Mytilus edulis: one gene and its partner. The protein of the gene in region 2 purifies or fractionates together with the protein of the main gene of each other region. This does not show direct contact. Links are inferred from orthologs where the notes say so. Each region holds a gene or a part of one and is shown on either strand. Other genes may lie near its edges.

Evidence for each region. The genes of interacting proteins can lie anywhere in the genome.
Region 1: the proteins of transitional endoplasmic reticulum ATPase (region 2) and calnexin-like purify together in Homo sapiens (affinity purification with mass spectrometry; 4 studies listed by BioGRID, with this or other methods). This does not show direct contact. The link is inferred for Mytilus edulis from reciprocal best matches to the Homo sapiens genes VCP and CANX.

What each region holds. Positions count from the first base shown.
Region 1 is NC_092351.1:90,147,063-90,154,267, reverse strand, and holds the start of calnexin-like, read left to right. Parts: upstream 1-4,187; 5' UTR 4,188-4,278; intron 4,279-7,205. UniProt on the Homo sapiens protein: Calcium-binding protein that interacts with newly synthesized monoglucosylated glycoproteins in the endoplasmic reticulum. It may act in assisting protein assembly and/or in the retention within the ER of unassembled protein subunits.
Region 2 is NC_092344.1:121,175,442-121,183,184, forward strand, and holds the start of transitional endoplasmic reticulum ATPase, read right to left. Parts: upstream 3,044-7,743; 5' UTR 2,727-3,043; coding exon 2,710-2,726; intron 1,765-2,709; coding exon 1,662-1,764; intron 881-1,661; coding exon 708-880; intron 1-707. UniProt on the Homo sapiens protein: Necessary for the fragmentation of Golgi stacks during mitosis and for their reassembly after mitosis. Involved in the formation of the transitional endoplasmic reticulum (tER).

The DNA.
Region 1 (7,205 bases), on a different chromosome or scaffold from region 2:
AAAAACATTTAGAGCCTTAAAGGTTAAACCGCATAATTGACAAAACCCATTGTAATGGGTGGAACAACGGCAAAATCAGAAGGTGCAAAACAGAAACCAAAACGTGCCGAACAGAAATGGCTGACCTTTCTGACAATCATTTTGGCGTTTGTTACAGGCAGTCATTGCTTTTGACGGTGACACGTTCATTGGTATAGGGAAAATCAGGGTTTCAGTGTATAACACAATATTTGAACATCGAAAATGACGTAATCAATTCAACTTTCGAACTGCATTTTTTTTTTCAAACATTTAAGTAATGACAGAACTTTCTATTCATAAGTTTGTTTACAAAAAAATGCATAATTAAAAATGAAAATTGAAAAGAATAATCTAGTGTTGCGTTTCTAAAGCCGGTCAGTATACTAGAAAAATTATTTGATAAAAAAATGACGCCAATATATATATATAGCTTTTCATGTTCTAGAAGAGAAAAAGCTTATTTGACAGACACTGACGTCCACAGCTTTTTATCTTCTAGAAAATCTTATATGACGGACATAGCTGATATCAATTATAATAGCTTGTCCTATTCTACAAAAAAAATTAATGAAAAACCCTTCTATAAAAAAAAAAATTTAACGGACACTGACGTCAGTCACTATAGCTTTTGATTCGTCTTCTAGATAACTTATTTGACGGACACAGTTGACATCAATAGCTTTTAATCTTCAACAAAAAAAAAATGAAAAACACTTTCTACAAAAAATAAATATTTGACGAACACTGATGTCACTATAGCTTTTTTTATTTTACAAAAAGTTAACCTTATTCGACGAAGGCTGATGAGTTTTAGCATCTATACATACCTTTTTTACGGACACTTATGTAACTAGCTTTTTGTCTTCTATACATAACAGTATTTGACATACACTGACAACGTCAACCAGTTTTTATTCTTGTACAACTATGGCTTTTCATCTTCTAAAATAACTTATATGATAATCACTCAGTGGCGGATTCAGGGGAGGGTTCCGGAGGTTGGAACCCCCTTCTTTGGACGATCAATGCATTTGAATGGGGACATATAGTTGGACCCCCTTTTTAAAATGGCTTGATCAGCCCTTGCACTGACGTCAACAGAGGCGGATTTGGGGGGGGGGGGGGGGGGTGATCATATAGGGAATCACTGAAGCGTGACCGGAGCGGGTCCCGTCTTAGGCAGTCAGTGGGCCCCCACCTAGATCCGCCACTGGTCAATAGCTTTTCATCTTCTAGAAAAAACGTATTTGACAACCACGGACGTCATTATCATTTTATCTTCAAGAATAAATACTGATTTTACAGACACTGACGTCCACAGCTCTTCGTCTTCTAGAACATTGTATATGGCATACACTGACGTCGATAGCTTTATAATTTTTTTTACAAAAATTACAAAAACTTATTTGACATACACTGACGTCAATAGCTTTTCGTCTTCTAAAAAATCTTATATGACAGAAACTGACGTCAATAGCTGTTCATCTTCTAGGGGAAAAATAACTTATATTACACTGACGCGTGAGTAGCTTTTCATCTTCTAGAGAAAAAAATTATTGAACAAAAAATAACATGTTATATTCAGGTATATAGAAAACAAATCTGGGACAATTGCCTTTGTTGGTATACAGTAAACATTTCATGCCAGTTAAAAAATATCCAATGTGAATATTGGAAGAGGACTGGTGCTACAACGGGTCTGTCTACACTAGCGTAAAATAGAGTCGAAGATACCAGAGGGACATTCAAACTCATAAGTCGAAAATAAACTGACAACGCAATGCATGGCTAAAAAAGAAAAAAAGACAAACTGACAGACAATAGTACACTAAACACAACATAGAAATTAAAGACTGAGCAACACGAACCCCAACAGGTTGTCTCATTGGCACTCACACCACATCTGCCTTTATCTATATAAAGAGATAATCATAGGTGCTCTGGAAGCCGGTAAGCAGATCCTGCTCCACATGTGGCACCCGTCATGTTGATTATGTTAGTACACACGTTGTTATAAGTCTAATTCGGTATGTCACATTCTGGAAAATTGGACGGGGTGTAGCTACGACATTAGGAACATATATCCGCTGTCGGTTTCATAGATCTGTGAGAGGTATATACCATACATATACTGTCAACCATCTCAGTTCTGATGGCATCCGTAAAACTTACGCGGAGTTCCGAGTCCTAAATATATATGACTTAATTGTCAACAAATACTAAATACTCAAACATTTACTTGCCACTCGACTGGGTCTGTGTACACTACATTTTGAAATGACTTTATTATTATGTTGTATACCTCTTTCAGTGTCGATGTGGCATGCAGTATGTTGGCGAGACAGAGCAGCCATTCAACAAACGCATGAATGGTCATCGCAGTGACTACACTTGCAAGCCCGACCTACCCGTAAGTCGTCATTTGAGATGCACCAGCGTCTGTGGTTTCCGCTTAAATTGTATAAACTTTCAAGATTCTGAGTGTCTCAATTTGAATATATCATGACATGATTCATTTGACATCGTGCTATTACCGAAGAAGGATATCTGTTATCCGAAATATTTAATATTTGTTCATTTTATAGTTATTTAATGGTGATGTTGTACCCTTTTTGACTTGTTATATATCATATTTTGTAGTGTACAGAATCGTATTACATGTTCCATCGCCCTGTAAGATTAATCGTTGACTATTTATTCAGTCATTTTATATATATATATATATATATATATATATATATATACTATACTATAGATAATTTAGCTGATCTGTAAAAATAACATCTCCATGTCTTATATATCATGTACTGTAGCACGACGCTAGATTAAAACTGACGTGGAAAGGTAACACCCGGCCACCGAAAGCTTCATTTTTATGAAGCCCAGGCCTTGAAGTCATAAAACTTTGGTCAGTGCTCGGAGCACAAAAATCATGCTCGAAACCTGAAATCCAGCATTTTCAAAACTCTTTAAAACTCTATTTTGTTTTGAAACATAAATTAACCTAAAAGATTTTAGATTAAGGCAATTAATCTGTAAGATAAGAATTAGCGCTCATGGTAGTCATACAAATATTTACTTGGATTGTAATTTGAGACTGATCAGAGATTATATATGTAAAAAAATTGTGCCGTGAATCAGGAACATATATATTAGATATACTGTTCCCAGCGTGAATAGATTTGAATAGAACACTTTAATAAAAAATGTTTATAATGCATTACACCCTTTTTTGGCTGAATGCTCACTATACGTTGATAATAAAAATAAGTCTTTTGCTGAAATTCAGTTAAAATGCAATAATTTTCAATCTTTAGACAATCTCTTTTTAACTTTTCATATATTTACTATTAGTTAGTATAATTCAAGTAGTTTAATTTATACATTAGCGGCGCAGTATTTATCCAAAAATCTGGCAATAAGGAGAAGTTCAAAGATAATAATTGCAAATTAGCCACAAGTATAGAAATGTTTTAAAACTTGATATTTGAAAGTTATCAAAGGTACCAACATTATAATTTAATCGTGATGCCAGACGCGCGTTTCGTCTTCATAAGACCAGGGACTTTCTATACTAAGAAATAGTATAGAAAATCCCTGATAAGACTCATCAGTGACGCTCACATCAAAATAGTTATAAGGTCAAACAACTTGAATACCATATATGAGGGCCCTCATGGGGTTTTTGATTATGTGATTACTTGGCCGTTTTTTTAATGATTATTTGATTATTAAGCCAAATATTTCATGATTATTTGATTACCTAGGACTGTATTTTTAGTTTATGATTATTTGATTACTAAAGATAAGCAAATATTTAATGATTATGTGATTATATTGGCAAAAAAATGGTGATTATGTGATTCCTAGGACCCCCCCATGAGGGGCCTCATATATATACGAAGTTGAAGAGCATTGCATGAGGACCAAAAATTCCAAAAAATTGTGCCAAATACGACTAGAAGGTCTAGAATGTAATCTTTTCCTGGGGTAAGACAATATATGTCTGTTGCTGTTAATAACTAATTTTAAAAATCTACGGATTCTAGTCTGAGGTTCTAGTATTCAATTCAAATGCAATTTAAAAAAACGCGCTTTTTAACTTTTAAAGTATATAGTAGCCAATCAAAAATGTCGTTACAAATTTCCTTGATATAATTTCCATAACCAATCAAACATCTCCACGTTTATGAACTTCATCTGTTGACCGGCGTGAGGGATTTGGAACGCTTTTAACTTGGAACACCAGAATTACTGGTAAAATGTCTTATTATGATTCAAATTTGAAATACTTTGATACTTAATTCCCACGATCACTTCTGTTTGAAACACCAGCTCACTTGGAAAATGCCCAAAACCTTCATTATTTGTAAAGAAACGATTAAACCGAAAAAAGGGGGAGGACGAATAATCATGACATGCCTGATTTTTCAGATCATATGATCCAGTAACATTAGTCCCTAGTCAGTATTAAAACTTTAACACATTTACTAAAGCTCAGTCTTGCTTATTTTTATTTGGCCTGAATGATTTTTTTACAGCCCAATAGAAACTGCAAAAACTATGTCCCATAATTGCATAAAAAAAATCTCTATTTTAGTGACTGAGCGAATTGCAAGTATAAGGTTGCTGCAAGGGTTACCTTGAAGACTACAGAAGTCTTGACCAAGGATAAGATATTAGCTTCATATCTTACATACAGCATATATTGTCTATTGAAAGAGTAATGATAAAACTGAAAAAGGGGGTGGCTAACTGGCTAATTAATAGACCGAATTCGGTCTAGCTAATTAATGAAAAATAAAAGATATCAAACTGTTTATTGGTTGGTATCTAAATGCTGTATTCACCTATATGAGAGTATGAAGACCGTTAACCGTCAGTCTTTATTCTTGGAAACCAGCCATACCAAATGGCTTCTTTAGTCTTTAGTCTTTAGTAAGTGTCCCAAATGACACTGTAAACACTTGTGTACGTTTCCTCTTTTGTAGTTTCTTCACATATGTAATGTTCACTCATGTACTACAGGGCTCACACTACTTCAGAATTATAGGGAGAAGTGACTTCTCTTTTTGAAACTGATAGGGAGAAGTGGTGAGATTAGAAAGAGAAGTGCTCATTCGCGCTGTGCGATACAATGTTTGGATTTTACAATAGTATAAAGGGCCATATATGTAAATAATGTTCTTTTTATACTGTTCAATTCATATCTGAGTAAAAAAATTACAATTAAAGTAACATTTGAAATTAAAAGTAGTTTAAGCTTGTGAGAAACTACCAACTAAATATCTAGCACTAAAAAAATAAAAAATATTTAAAAAAATGTAAAGAAATTATAATATATCAATTACAATTTAATTAAAAATTATCTTGTGTATGACATTCAGTGTTTCTCATAAAAAAAATATAAAAGTTATTAAGCTGGGCCATAATATATTGATATTAGTATAATAGTCTCAGAGTTAAGTAACTTTAATCAATAGTTTGAAACAATCCATAAAAAATATAAGGAATTATATACACCAATCAATTAGATGTAACCAAAAGTCTCTTAATGCGTGTGGAATGCGTAATTTTTCCCTTTGGGATCAATATTCTTCTGTCAGCTGTTCCATCCGTGTGTCCGTAGTAATTATTGTAAAAGTACGGATTTCGGTCATAGCTGGTCCGGTTCAGATCCGTAGATTAGAAATCGGTCAATGGCGGCCGAATGCAAGAAAATTTACAAAAATAAACGATGTTTGACAAGTTATTTGGAAAGAAACATGACGTTTTTAATGCAATAAATGGATTAAAATTTACTGGAGGCAACTTTTATCACGTTTAAATGAAGTAACAAACTTATTTTGCCGCAGAAATTGAGGTTGATGTACGTTTTCGAGTAACAAGCACCGGTACTCGCAGAAATGCACGAAGTGATAAAAAGTTGTATTTTTATCAAATAACCTGCTACCCACTGCGAAGACAATGCTTCAAACTCTTTTCAAAAGATAATGAATCGTTTATGTCTGAAATTTTTTAATTATCAATAAAAATTTGATGTTTCATCAACTTGGTAAAAATTGAAAATGTCCGATGACGGAAGCGACTGAAAGCGACTGTCGTCAAGAACAGGGCGACTTGTTTTCGCTTTTGGGGGTCGAGGAAAGCGAAGTGACGGTCGGGAAGGCGACTTCTTCGCCCAAGTCGCCTGGTAGCGTGAGCCCTGCTAGATTGAAATGGTGGCTGCTGCTTAAAAAATTTTGACTTAATTTTGATATAGATTTATAGTGTTTTTTGCTGTATAGTGTTTTTGAATCTACCAGACTCCGTTAAATAATTTTCCAGATGGCACAATATCTCATTTCGATTGTCTCTATTAATGTCTTCTTCATCGATTCCTAATACGGTGTCTAAATCCATGTGTATATTTCCTGTAATAAAGTAAATAGATGTTCTCATCCTCTCTCTAGCCTCCTCATAGTTAGAACAATGTAAAAGGTAGTGTTCTACAGTTTCGGCTACTATTCTTGCCTTGGAAACCAGCCTTTCTGATCAAAATCATTGTTGCTTTTGTTTATATTAGGTAACAAGACTGTTAGGCAAGGAAACCAATCACCTCCATGTTTAATGCAATAATGGACAGTTTGGGACCAAGAGAAACCAGGCCAAAATAAAAAGATTGTATGTTTGCCCAAACGCGACCAACCCAAAATAAACCCGCCGACTCAAATTCTTTTTTGACGTTTTTTTGGAGAATTTTTTTTTTTCAGAATTTTTTTGGGTCCGCTCCGTCATCGTACAAAACTTAATGTTTGTCGTCTTTGCGTTTAAAAGTAGCTGTGAATAAGATTAAAAGAAAGCGTATAAGAGACACAGTTAATCGATATTCAATGTTCTCTGTTTTTATCTTCTGATTTAACAATGTTTAACGAACGTAAAACAGTAAAACATGTGAAGTGGCACAGTTTTTTTACGCTGTAGGTGTCTGTACTACCAAACCCTTTCCTATATACTCAATGTTAATTTCATCATGTTTATCGTAGAGTGGTTGTTTCGGACACAAATTAAGGCTTAGTAAATAAGAACGTCTGCTTGCAATGATACTTGTATTGAACTCTGAAAAGCTAACGTCACAACAACGGTGACGTCGTGTACATGGAGAGCGGTAGAGGGAACACCTCATGTGCAATTCTTAACATTCT
Region 2 (7,743 bases):
CGTTCTTTTGTGGTCATAAACCTTGTGTCAAAATTTCATAGATTTCTATTAACTTAAACTAAAGTTATAGTGCGAAAACCAAGAAAATGCTTATTTGGGCCCTTTTTGGCCCCTAATTCCTAAAATGTTGGGACCAAAACTCCCAAAATCAATACCAACCTTCCTTTTGTGGTCATAAACCTTGTGTTAAAATTTCATAGATTTCCATTCACTTTTACTAAAGTTAGAGTGCGAAAACTAAAAGTATTCGGACGCCGGACGACGACGACGCCGACGCCAACGTGATAGCAATATACGACGAAAATTTTTTCAAATTTTGCGGTCGTATAAAAACATATACATAACACATAGATCAAATAAATTTCAAATCAAAAGACGGTCTTTTATAATGTGACATTGCAGTGTACATGTATGTATACATGTATATATCAAATACATCATACATAAAACAAACAAACTAATGTCAAATATAGTGTGACATTTACTTGTCATCAAGGACATACAAAGAAGAAGGAAAATGTATATCAGTTAAATTCCCTTGTGTATTCATAGGCATGTTTTCAGAAAAACTCCCACCAAAATGGTCTAAAACATAATCATATTACTTTATTTTTGTACAACTGTTTCTAAAATTCTGTAACCTTTATATCTGACTACAAATGTAAGTCTCTATCCTTAGTGATAAACCAATATTCATATCAACTAACCTGACTATGTCTCCTATCCTCACTCGTAGATTGTTCCTTACACATCTGTTTATTCTGATTTTATCATCTGAGCATGTGTCATCAGACAAGACAATGCATACAGTTTCTCTTCGTCTTTTTCCTTTAAGGAGTACTGTGTCACCACGGAATAACTGCAACTCATCCATTTTTCCCTGTAATTAAAATCACAAGTTAATTTTCAAATCAAATAATTAGGAAACCAATATTGGGATGCATGTACAGACAAGGATGACATTTAATATAGTCTTCACGCTTTACCACAGGCCCAGCAGGCTAGGCTTGTAAAATTGCTTTCAGGTCTTTAAAAATTATCTCTACATGTTTTGTACATGCCAACATAATCTACATGTAATTAAAAATTCCAAAAGCTTTAGCTCAAGTTTATAACAGACCTCTTTGCTGCAGACAGGGCATACAGGCCATTCATTAGGAGGCGGTACCCGGTACTTTTACCTTCCTATGCTATTGACAAGTACCGCCTAAATGTAGGAATTTTTATATAAGATATTCATGGAATAAATTGAAAAGTACCACCTAGAAACATGGAAAGTACCAGTCAACATGAAAGATAATGAAACCCCTGGGCATAATAAAGGGGAAGACCCATACACCATGAGTATAAGGAACGTCTTAAAAACATTTACAAAGCTCTATCCCCTTCTCAAAAATCTGTTTTTAGACTGCAATATGAACATTAATCGAACTTTACAAAATGATATATTTTTTATTCTTACTCGCCCAATTTCAATTCAAATATTAGTGGTAACACAATGCCTAATCCAGATTTTGTACAAGAACTCCAAAATGTATGACTTTACTGGACCTGAAGGATAAGGCACACATGATGAACCTTCAAAATTCCAAATCACAAACTTTCACTCAAATTTGAGTTTTTAATTTATTGATAATGTAATAAAGTAAAAGATACTGTACCTGTGAAAGGGAGACAACTGAATTATCTTCATTGATAGCTTCTTCAACAAGGAGCCTGTTAGGTCTGTCTTTACGTTTAAGGATGGCAGTTTGCAAGTCTTCACTACAAATCAAAAATTATTTACATGTACACATTGTAGTTCATTTGAATTTAAAAATCTTTTTGGTACATATACATTTGTGTAAGATCTCACACTTTGTTTTTTAAAAGATTAAAACATGAAAGCATACATGTGACATGTACATTTTTATTTCAACATGTTTTTATCTCAATTTTGATGGGTTGCTGTCAGGTTGAAATTTAAACAATTGAACATCACCATTCATTTCATAGTTCAAAATTAAAACTTTTTATAATTGACCTTAGTTATCTGAATGTAAATAGTAATTATAAACTTTTGACATGTATAGCTTTACCTGTCCATTTTAGTGTTTCAGGTTCTGCTTAATTGTTTGAAATGGCAAAATTTAGCTTTGGTTATTTTTTATATAATACATAGTGATATTGCAGTTTTGAACCTGATATCATGAATGTAAATAATGAAATGAACTCAACCAATGTCAATGACACGTTACGCTTAGAGAATGGATAAACATAATGACTTAATTTCTATAAATAGAACTTATTTTCGGTTTATTTATTTCAAGGAAATTACAAAAATGTAAATGATAAAAATAACTTTGAATATCAATTTCAAATATATATGTTCTGACATGACTTTACACTGTAAATTTTTTCAAATATAAATTTCCGGGATAAAAAAATTATGATGATCAAATATTTTCGTCAAAAAATTATATAACAGTTACTTTTGGCTTAAAAAGCATAAACAATTCTTAATTAATTACTTTTCTTCCATTAGATTCAGATATCCAAAAATATTTCACAAGTTTTAGGATTTTTTCGTTTGAACAAAGACAATGACAAAGTGAATTTGAGCATCGAAGAAAAAAACTTCGAAAATCAAATCAGTTTTTGGAGTTTGACATAGCTCCTAGTCCTCTTAGTTTACAACCAACCCATAAGAAAATCACTAATTAAACTTACTTTGCTCCGTCAGCCATTATTTGTTTCTTTTCAATTCAAATTCTACCAAATTCTACAAGTGCGTGCGTGCCGGTTTCTTCTGCGTTAAAATGGCGACGTATGGAAAAAGTGTATAATATCCGGTTTAACACGGATCGATAATATTCCGTGTACTTATTCAAAGATTATCTCAATATCTGTGACATTGACTTTAGCGTATCAAATTGTCTATTTTTACGTAAGTCGTTTACAAAAAAATATCACAAAGTTAATTAATTGCTTCGCCGAGCACAGTGTGATACGACCGCAGAAGTCGAACCGTGAACAGTCAAGTTTGCCGGGACACATTGACAATATTCAAGCTTTGTTGTCTAAATTTGGATCATATAGAGTGGGTCTCATTGGGGTCTAAGCGTGTCGTGAAAACGGGAAATGAGGTCTAGCGGGACACGGGAAATGACAAAAACATGAGAATTGCTTACGTACAAAGCAATTCTGGGAAGTGTACTAATTTACAATCTGGTAATAAATTAAGAACTTACAGAAAATTTAAAAATATTTTTATGTTTGAACCATATTTAAAAATGAATTCAAAAAAGACAGGCAAATAATCACAAGATTTAGAACTAGCTGTCATGATCTTGAAATCGAAAGAGGGAGGTATATTGGAATTAAAGCTGAAGACAGAAAGTGTAAGCTATGTAAGAACGCAGTTGAAGACGAACTACATTTTCTTTTAAAATGTCCTGTTCTAAAAGGTATCTCAACATCTATCTAATTTAAATTCAAAATTCAAAAATTTTTCAAGATTATCTGATGAAATGAAATTTGTTTGGATTCTTTCATCTGAAGATTTGTTTGTTACTTCAAACTTATCTAATTTATTGCACTCCCTTTTTGAAGAACGAAAGAAAATTATAGAAAATATTGTTGTTCGAAAAAGAAAAAAAAAATAGAAGAAAAAAATATTTATAGATATATACATATATAGGAAATAAAATTGATCAGGAGTTGTCTCCCATAGACCTAGAACTATAAGGATTTATGTAATTTCTCCAGGTCACAGTGGCACCCATAACTATGTTTTGTCAATAACTTGATTTATATCAGGTTAATTAGTGTAAATGTGTATTCATGTGGTTTTGTTGTTTAAATGTACTTTAATCATTCTAATCATTTTCTGTGCTTTATTTTGTAATTCATTTGATTGTATAGCTCAAATTTTGGGCACCATGATTGGTTAATAAAATTATCTTATCTTATCTTATCTAGTGTAAGCGGGATACGGGAATCTGACAAAACAGTAAGCGGGATCCGGGATCGGAACCCCCCAATGAGACCCCCTATAGATTTCCAACACAAAATCAGGGGCGGATCCAGCCATTTTAAAAAGGGGAGTTCCCAACCCCGGACAAAAAAGGGGGGTCCAACTATATGTCCCCACTCATATGCATTGATCGTCCAAAAAAGGGGGGGGGTTCCAACCCCCGGAACCCTCCCCCTGGATCCGCCACTGAAAATAAATGTGGTCAAAAGATCTTAAAAATCGATTGGGTAATACTCTGCTATTGAAGATTTCTCCAGTTTGAAACTTTTGAATAAATTTGAAATTTTGAAAACTTGAGAGAGAAAAAATATGACCCCCCCTCTCCCCCCGGTTGAAAAATTGGAAAACAAATCACGCTACTGTTGACACTCCTTTTGAGTAAATGACCCCAAACTCAATCCCAACTTCTATTTGTGGTATGGAACCTTGTATTACAATTTCAAGTTGAGACATCCATACACTTAACACAAGTTTACTGTTATTGTCTGGAAACTAGAAAATGCTTGTTTTTGGTCCCTTTTTGGCCCTTTTTCCTGCTTGTTCTGGGCAATTAATTTACACCAAAACTCAATATCAGCCTTCCCTATGTGATATGAAACCTTGTGGTACTATTTAAGAGAGATCCATACACTTAAAAACAAGTTATTGTCCGCAAACTACAAAAATCACCGCCGCTTGTTTTTGGCCCCTTATTCCTTAACTGTTGGTAACATATACCTTAAAATCAATCCCAACCTTCCTTTTGTGGTATTGAACCTTCTTGTAAAGTTTCATAGATATCCAATAATTTAAACTTAAGTTATTGTCCGGAAACCGAATTTGTCTTCGGACGACAACAAATATACACTGATGACATGTAAGAGTTATCGGATCATTTTAGTGGATTATTAATTTTTTGGACTAAGCCAATCTGATAAAATCTGGAAAATATCCATTACAATATGGTAATTGTTACATATGTTTAAAGTCGGGGCCTTTTATAGCCCCCAATAAAGAGCACAGGTAAATAAAATAAAAACTTGATAAAAATCGTGTTTTCATGATCCTAGCTAGAAATGTTATTATAAGTTTTGAATACTTCTTTTTGCAACTTCATAGAGTCGTAAAAGCGTTCACCGTGCGCACATTTTTAGAATGCAGCTCTTCCGCGCTTCATACAAAATGTACTTCGGTCAACACTTTACACCCAAATAAAGTAACAAAAAGAAACATTCAAAATAGAAGAAGAAAAGCATAATGATATCTCTAATAAAAACAGAAATCCACAGATGAGTACCATCATACTAAAGACAGGATAAGACCATAACAAACTGAGGATATCGAGGTATTAAAAATTGGAAACAACGAAATACATTGTTCTGACAGTACATCTCATATAAGACTTACAGGATCGACAGTAGATGAAACCAGAATAAATGACTGCATCAGTTTAGCAAGGAGAACGCTATATTCTCTAATAAAGACAGAGGTGCATGACTCAAATGGTCTTGCATACGGCCTACAAATACTGCTAGAAAGGCTTAACACACTACATGTAAACTCGAAGTTAAATATGGTCACTTCTTAAAAGGACATCATGCGAATCGTTTTACCTACCTCTGTGAGCTCTTCTGCTAAATGCCGAAATTCACAAAAGACAACTTCGTTGTTTAAAGTATGATCTCAACAGTACGCCCTGTACGGTACAGAGGAAACTATTAGAGCACTAGCTATGCGTCAATATATAATATATCATATGTATGACAAACAAACAAACTTCTTTATTTTATCATCATAAATTCTAGAGATGTACTCTTTACAAAATACCCATATTTATCCCAAATATCCCGGGCGATAGTAATCTGCTTATTTGGTTCATGTCAAACGATAGCCTTCTTTTTAACTCTAAATTATGTGAATTGCTATCCTCATTTTACACATTGAGAAACTAAATATTTGCTTAACTGAAACTTATAAAACTTATTTATAGTCTTCACCAGTTCATTGTCACATTATACTTGAATTGTTTTCTTTCTTTCTGGGCAGTAAGAGTTATCCTTCGTTCCAAATATATACAATGTAGGCAACTGACTCTCTTCATAAAAACAAATAAAAATAAAAATATATTTGTATCTTTATTTGTACTGTATTTCATTTTTCATTTACATATTGTACTGTTAAATCAATAATCCTTAATCAGAACGAGAGTTGTATGTGTGAGTGTATGCGAGTGAAAGAGAAAGGCCTTTTATTTTTACTTTATGTGATTACATGCTTGTTATGAGCCCTATGATTAGGAAATAAAAATATCTTTATCTTTATCTATGTACCAGACCTACCTTTCTTTAATGGAATATTCAAAACTATGTATAACAAAACTTCTGTCTCGGACGTCCGAAAAGAAATTACAAACAGCCAAATTTTGACCTGAACCGATATTTACAAGCACATATATAGGTATATATTAAAACAGTATTTAAAATAGTCCCCCCCCCAAAAAAAAAAAAATCAATCAATATATGGATACTTTTTTTAACAAACGTCATTTTAATTTTGAAGTTGGTGTAAAACTATTTGCATAAAATTGAGAATGGAAATGGGGAATGTGTCAAAGAGACAACAACCAAACCATAGAGTAGACAACAGCCGAATTTCAATTATTCTCACCTTTAACTGTATAATATTGATATAAATATGCTCAAAATAACTTGTACTTGCTATTTACTATCAATTCCAAGTTTACTGTATGTGTGTTTGTTTTTTCTACATTGCTTATGAAGGTATAGGGGAGGGTTGGGATCTCAAAAAGATGTTTAACCCGCATTTTCATGCCTGTCCCAAAACCAGAAGCTTTTGGCCTTTAGTAGTCTTGTGTGATTTTTCAATTTTAGATAATTTTTATGTTTTTTATTTAGGGGCCAGCTGAAGCGGGCTATCGGATGCGGGATTTTCTCACAGCATTGAATACCTATTGGTTCCCTTCTATTCGTCTGTTGTCTGCTGTTTGGACGGATTGTTGTCTCTTTGGTACATTCTCCATTTAGATCTATTCTCAATTTTATCCACAGAGGTCATGGATTTTTTTTTATCCCTCCTCATTCTATTTATATAAATGTGCCTGTCTTCAGTCAGAAGCTTGCAGTTCAGTGGTTGTTGTTGGTTCACATCTGTCTTTTGTTTTCAATAAATTGTTTTGTTATGAATAAGGCCGTTAGTTTTCTCAATCGAACTATTTCATATTTTTCATGTCATGGCTCTTTATAGCCAACTGTTCGGCGTGGGGTTTTCTCATTAACGAAGGCCATAGAGTTGTCTATTATTGCTTACATCCATTTAATTTCGATTGTTATTTCCTTATTTTATAGATACCATCTTTCAGGGATTTCTATATGACTTTGACAAGGAGCACCCCGAACTCCACACGGGTCTCGGGGTCCCCATGGGATTTACAGGGGCTACAATATGACGGATAATCTTGTGGAACTTCGATATTCTCAAGTTATTTGGGCTGGTTTGAAGTGTTTACTATTATTTTATACGCTACTGACGTTATGGTATTGATTGCAGACTAAGTAGACCACTCATCTTTGGAGTCTTTCTCATTTGTCTTTAAAACTCTGCCGTCAGCAGAATGAGATGCCGAACTCTGCATGAACAATCCAGTTTGGATACCCCTGACTATCTGTGTTCTGGTTAGATGTGATTATATAAATATCTTTTTATTTAGTAAATGGCTTATTGATTTGATG